Rattus norvegicus: one gene and its partner. The protein of the gene in region 2 interacts with the protein of the main gene of each other region in a pairwise test. Links are inferred from orthologs where the notes say so. Each region holds a gene or a part of one and is shown on either strand. Other genes may lie near its edges.

What was found.
Region 1: the proteins of Prkaca (region 2) and Prkar2a interact in a protein complementation assay, tested with the Homo sapiens proteins (2 studies listed by BioGRID). The link is inferred for Rattus norvegicus from reciprocal best matches to the Homo sapiens genes PRKACA and PRKAR2A.

What each region holds. Positions count from the first base shown.
Region 1 is NC_086026.1:118,323,608-118,327,107, reverse strand, and holds part of Prkar2a (cAMP-dependent protein kinase type II-alpha regulatory subunit), read right to left. Parts: intron 3,003-3,500; coding exon 2,901-3,002; intron 2,753-2,900; coding exon 2,678-2,752; intron 1-2,677. UniProt on the Homo sapiens protein: Regulatory subunit of the cAMP-dependent protein kinases involved in cAMP signaling in cells. Type II regulatory chains mediate membrane association by binding to anchoring proteins, including the MAP2 kinase.
Region 2 is NC_086037.1:41,059,343-41,062,766, forward strand, and holds the end of Prkaca (cAMP-dependent protein kinase catalytic subunit alpha), read right to left. Parts: intron 2,139-3,424; coding exon 1,974-2,138; intron 1,664-1,973; coding exon 1,538-1,663; 3' UTR 501-1,537; downstream 1-500.

The DNA.
Region 1 (3,500 bases), on a different chromosome or scaffold from region 2:
TAATAATAAGTTATACAGCTGTGTGGGAGGGTGGCAAGTGCTACAGGACAAGAACAGGACAGGGACCACAGGCTCTCAACTGGCGGTAGATGGACAGGCTACTGTGGACAACACAGCTTTAGGGAAAGGCGAAATCTGAGCAAAAGCTGGAAGGAAGAGAGACTCAGGCAAGCAGACAGGAGACAAAGCTTTCGGCTTGTTCCACTTTCTCACCCTCACAGTTAGCTCTGGGTCAAACCACGGAGAACAACGGCAGTCACATGCTACTGGTTGGTGCTTTGTTCTGAGACAGGTCTGCCTACGTGGTTCTGGCTGGCCTGGCATGCATTGTCTCCAGGTTAGCCTCACTTTCATCAGCACCCCTTCCTCTGCCTCCCAAGTGCACTCCCACATGCCCAGCTTGGTGTGGACTTTGTCTTCAGTAAGAGTCCGCCCTGCCAAGCGTCAGTCTTTTGCTTGACCCACCACTTCAAACCCCAAACAGAGAGACACCATTTGAGGCTGATTCGCTTGAGTGAATCACCAGTTCCAGCATGGAATGACGGCTCATGGCTATAACCACAGCACGCAGCCAGCTAAAGCAGAAACACTGCTGTGAGTCTGAAGCTAGCCTAGGCTATGCAGTTAGATCCTGTCAAAAACCCGAAAGACTTTTGTGTCACAGTGTGAATGCAAAATGTCTCCCAAAGGTCCATGTATTTGACCTCTTGTCCCCATCTGGAGACACTTTCCTGGGAAGTTACTGAACCTTTGGAACACGGGGCCTCACTCTGTCACTAAGAGAGACATTCCCCTGTTTTTCATTCACTCTCTTTCTGATTACCACGGCCTGACTTGTTCCTGCCTCCATGATGAGCTGGTATCCCCTGAAACTGTGGGCAGAATAACTTGAGATGAAAGATAGAAGCCCCCTAGGGATGGCCAGCATACACCCGCAGCCTCACTGGCCAGCATGCTATGCAGACAGCATGTCATGCACTGGAGTGCAATGTTTAATGTGCAGAATGGCTTATGCAATGCTTTAAGCAGAACAAATGAGGGCTTTTTCTATACAGTTCATTGCCTTAATAAATTTATAATATAAATGTGAGCAGATTTTTTTACTTCATAAAGTAAACACGGACATTTCATCATATTTGTACTCTGCATATTCAAGGAAGAAATTAAGTTTTGTATAAACCTGTAAAAAACAAGCACTTGCAGTTTCCTTTCCAGAGTAACACGGATTAGTTACCTCTATTCTACACTCTCACTTTGCACATGTGCATCATCACACATCACAGTGGGCCTTACTGAGTCTTGTTTACCCCAGTCTTCACCTAGCAAGCAGAGCCATTCAGAGCTGGAACTGGGATGAACAGGGTACTTCTGTCAGTGCTGTAGTGGGCTCTCCTCTCCCTTCACTGTAAGTCTGACTAGTTCTCAAGGCTTGGGTGGGGCCAGCTCTATGAATGGGACTCAAGCACATAGGCCTGGGATCCACCCTGACCTGAAACCATCCTCTTCACCACAGCTGGGTGAACAAGGCCCTATACACTGTCCACCTGGACTCAGCCAGACTCCTTCCCCAGTGGTCTTGTCAGATCCATGGGCAGGTAAGTTTATATCTGGAAAAGTTTCTAAAACTACTTACATGTAATTAAAATACAAACACAGTAGACAGAGGAAATATTTCTAAAAGATATTACATGTAGAACAGGAGAGCCAAAAGTTGTTATGTAGCTGAGAGTGGTCCTGAACTCCCGACCCACTTGCCTCTACCTAAGTGTTGGGATTTTAGGCATACACTGCTATGCCCAGTTTGCAGTCTTCTTTAAGTATAATGGTCCAGTTTACTGTGTGGGATCTAACATTATTAAAAATAACATGAGAAAGACACAAAGGGTCTCTATATCAAGGAGTCACTGGATGCTGAGGATTCCCGTGTCAGCACAGGGCTAAGGGAGCGTAAGCCCCAGCTGTCTAGTACAGACTAATAAAGTTTACTCAGGGTCAAAAGAAAATTAGATCCACTAGAACAAACGGCAGAAGCCCACCCCTAAATGAATGCAGTCCGAGCCTAGCAGCACATGGTGCAATCGCAGAGACTTCGAAGGCTTCCATGTTTAGGACGACTTGATCACGCTGTCTCGAAACAAACAAAAAGGACCAAGGACCCAGCTCAGTGGCAGAAGCCTTTGCTCAGCATGTGAGTTCAGTCCCTGGTACTTCAACTAACGTCTCAGGGAGATGGGCCTCAGTGAACAGCATTCAGAGGTCTCTATAGAAGGGACAACATGAGCTTCCAGTGATTTTTTTTCTTCTTTTTTTCTTTCCTTCCTTCCTTTTTTTTCCTTTTTTGAGACAGGATCTCTAAACAGCTCTGGGTGATCTGGAACTTGGTATGTAGAGCAGGATGGCCTCAAACTCAGAGCCCCACCCCCACCCCCATTCTTTTTTTTTTTTTTTCTGTTTTATTTTTTAAGACAGGGTAGACCAGGTTGGCCTTAAACTCAGAGACTGGCCTGCCTCTGCCTCCTGAGTGCTTGGTTAATGGCATGTGCCACCACCACCCAGCTTACTTCTCCTAAATGCTGGCATGACAGATGTGCGTTACCATACTCAGTCCGCAAGCAGGTCACACTGTTCATTGTGATGGGGACTTCCAGAAAAGGAGCTGTGTGAGCCCCCAACTCACCTGAGTGATTATTCGCTCTCCATCCTTATAGATCTTTTCCCCGATCACATCCACAATCTTCATTCGTTCTGACATCTAAGTAACGGATATAGTTACAGTATGAGGATAAAACCTTGATTGACTGTCACTGTTACAACTAGATCAGAACAGTATTATTTGAAGACCTAAGAGCAGTTTTAACAGCTTTTCATGAACCACATACACAGACTCTCGTAAGCCTTACCTCTAGTGATTTAAAGAGCGGTACAGACTCAATAAACGATTCGAACATCTTCCTCTTCTTTGCATTGTTCTTCACTATGATTCTCCTAAAAGTCACCCGGTCCTACAGGAAAACACAGGGCAAGTCTACTATATGTCTGTGAAGAGAACATCTATGGTTTAAGTAGCTGAACCACTGCTAGAGAGCTGGAAGTCCCTAATCAACAGGGTTTAATGATGCTGGAAGAAAAACCCCTCAGACTTGAGCTAGGCACAAGTCTCCAAACTGTAGTGTGCTGCTGTGCTCAATGAGTGCCGCCGTGGGGCGTAAATAGATCACAAAACAAAACTCCCATTAAATACCCGGGTGCTCATAGGTATTAGACAGTACCAAAAGATACCTCCAGAAAAGGCAAATAATGCCCATCAAGAGTCTGTGACTATAAAGAAAAGACAACACAAGATACACAGGACCCATAGCCTTAATCAACACTTAGTAGCTGAGACAGGAAAACCATACATCCAAGATTGCTCTAGGCTACAAGAGAATTCTTGGCCTGCCTGAATAACCATCTCTAACAGAAACAAAAAGAGAACAAAGTATAAAGTAGAGAAGGATTTT
Region 2 (3,424 bases):
CATTGGGCGCGGGACCCAGACGTCCTCGGCGCCCAGCCCCCTCTCCACGCCTCTCCGCGCGCAGCGCTCTCGGGACCGCACTTACCGGGAACTAGCCGCGTCGCGGCCCGACGCGCCTCGCTCCTGGGAGCCGCGGAGACCTCACTAGCGGCCCTGCCTCGCCTACACGAGGACTCCGGGGGGTCGCGCGGGGCTTCCCCTTTCTCCTTCGACTCTGCTAATCCTATTTGGCCGAACCGGTCCCGGCGGCCCTCTCGGTCCGGGACTAGACTGAAGTAGGGGTGGGAGCAGATTTGAGGGCCCCGAACTCAGGGTCAAAGGACAGTTTGCCCACCCCACCCCTCCTTTTTCTGGTGTGGCGGAGGAAGTACAGGAATTCCAGCTAAACCCGGTTTCTCCAAGGTCCGGAGGCCGGGGTCTCCAGAGGATGGACACTGAGGTCCGAAATTCCCTTTCCAACACCCTGAGGGTGTGATCGAAGTCGGGAATACCAGGGACACTTTTATTTTAAAACAAAACTTTATTGGTAATAGTTTTCAAATATGTTTACAACAGCACACTGTTCAAGAGGAAGTCTCATCCTTCGAAGCACACAGGTTGAACGGCCCCTCTCGCCCACCCGGGGCCCCCACCCAGGCCTGAGAGCTCCTCCTTTTTGGGAGAAGTTACGAGAGGGATAAACACAGGGATAAACGGGGTCATATCCCCAGCAGCTCCCCACCTTTCTATTGAGAGAAAAAGCACAATCAGAGTGCTTTTGGGGGTGCAGTGAGTGGGGACACACGGCAAGAGGTGATGGACAGCTGACAGCTAAGCTAGAAGTGAGCGCCCAGGATGGGGAGGGGCTTCTTAGGGGGGCTGGTGCACAGAACAATTGGCATGAGACCACTGGAAAGGGGGGCCGGGAGGCTAGCAGCTCAGGGCGAGGTTCCAAGCCCAGTTCCTTCCTTGACAGAGTCAGTTGGCTACCCGGGTCTCATCAGAATGGATTTAGGGAGTGGGGGTGGGGTTGAGAGGGGTGGGACAATTTGGAGGGTGGGAGGCACTGGTGGAACTTAATTTAAATGAGGAAAAAAAAAAAAAACCCCACTGGCAAGCAGCCCTCTGTACAGGTCATAAAATCTCCCTTTCCAGGTAGGGCTGCATGGAAGGGAAGGTTGGCTTTACTGTTCATCCTTAGTATCCAGTGCTGGGGTAGGGGTGGAGGCTGAATTTGGGCCCCTCTTTCCCTACTCGCCCCTGGATACACCAGCAAGATTGAGTATGACTGGAGCTAAGAAATTCATTGAAAACAGGCAGGGAAGGGTGGAGGTGAAGGGAGAGGGGGAGCAGCTGATGTTGCCCCTTCCCCAGTATCTGACTTTCCTGCTCTCCTTAACCCTGGGGGTGTGGAGTGGATGTTAAATTAGATGCATGGAACTCTAGGGCCCTCTGGCTGTTCGATCCAACCCCCCCACCCCCAACCAGAAAAAAAAATAGAAAGAAAAAGAAAAAAAAAAAAAAAAGAAAAGAAAACCCATGGGGCACAAGCACACCCCTAAAACTCAGTAAACTCCTTGCCACATTTCTCATTGATGGAGACCCGGATCTCTTCCTCCTCATAGTCGTCAAAGTTACTCGTGTCCCCAGGGCCTTTAAACTTTGGTATGAAGGGAGCTTCCACCTGGATAGGGATTAAGAAGCAGCCAGAGTGCGTTAGCTGACCTTACCATTACAATAAAAATGAATGGCTTAATACTCAGAAGACACTGCTGGGACCCAGGCCTGAGCTCACCATTCAGGTGGAGTGTCTTCTCTGCAACCCAACTCACCAAACGAAGTCACTTCCCAGAGGATATTTCCTGCTTACGGCCACAAAGTGGCCAGAAGAGCCCAGCATCCCCCATATAGTCCTGAACTTGCTGGGCTGTTTGTATTATCCTATCCATAATTCCTTGCCTTTCCAACTTGGGGCATGGGGAAGAGAAGCCCACCTTTCTCTGATAGATGGCGATCCAGTCAGTTGTGGCAAACCACTTGTGGTTCTTGATGTCATTGACCCCGTTCTTGAGATTCCCAAAGCGCTTGGTGAGATCCACCTGCAGAAGGTTCCGAAGCAGGTCCTTCAAGTCAGAGCTGAAGTGGGATGGGAACCGCACCTGGAAGGGGTGTAGATACGAGTGGGGTGCTGTTCATGCACTTTGGGGGTCCAGAATGCTGCCTTTTCCATTTCTGACACAATTCCCACTCCCTCCTGACATACCCCAGATATACACCTCTGTGCAGCCCTGGCTGTCCTGAAACTCTGTAGACCAGGCTGTCTTCAAACCAAGTTCTGGGATTAAATGTGTAGCTCAAACTGACCTTGAACCCATGATCCTGTGTCCTAGCCTGAGTACTAGAGCTATAGGTATGTACCACAGCGCTCTGGCTGACTGGTACCTGTTCTATCCAATAGTCCTACAGGGAGAATCTGTTAAGATGGCTTGTGGGCAGGGCTGGGCAGGGCAGGGCAGGGAAGTAGTGGCCCATGCCTTTAATCCCAGCACTCAGGAGGCCCAGGCAGGTGGATCTCTGTGCCTTTGAAGCCAGTCTGGTTTACAGAGGGAGTTCTAGGACAGTCAGGGCTACACAAACAAACCGGCTTGGGGGGGGGGGGGTTGACAAAACAAACAACAAAACCACTCAAAAACCAACAAAAAGATGGCTTGTTGGAGCGTGCTAGCCTTCACTGATGATCCTAACATTCAGGCAAGGGCAGGTGGATCTCTGTGATGTGAGTTCAAGGCCAGCTTGGTCTGTATGGCAAGATCAGCCAAGAGTACATAATAAAACCTTGCCTCGGGTTGGGGATTTAGCTCAGTGGTAGAGTGCTTGCCTAGCAACTGCAAGGCCCTGGGTTTGGTCCTCAGCTCTGGGGGGGGGGTGGGGGTGGGGGGAGAAGGGAAGACCTTGCCTCAACAAAATCCCAAAAACTCATTGCTGGACCAATGAATGGCTTTGTTCTTGCAAAGGTCCCGGGTTTCATTCCCAGCATCTACATGTTGGCCTCTAACCACTGTTAAGTCCATTTCTAGGGGATCTAATGCCTTTGGCCTCCAGGGGTCCTGTACTCATGTCACGTACATACAGACACACAAAGTTAAAAAACACACAAAGTTACATAGTTAAAAAATAAAGTAGGGTGGGGTTGGGGATTTAGCTCAGTGGTAGAGCGCTTGCCTAGCAAGCGCAAGGCCCTGGGTTCAGTCCCCATCTCCGAAAAACAAAAACAAAAACAAAAACAACAAAAACAAAACAAAACAAAAACTAAAAAAATAAAGTAGGGAAACTATCAGCAGAGATGGCTTGGTGGAGCTAGCACTACAGCTCTGGGCCAGGTCAGGAGCCCAGCATACACAGGCCTCCACTTTTAGGCCCCAGTGGCCATGCAAACAAAAACCAT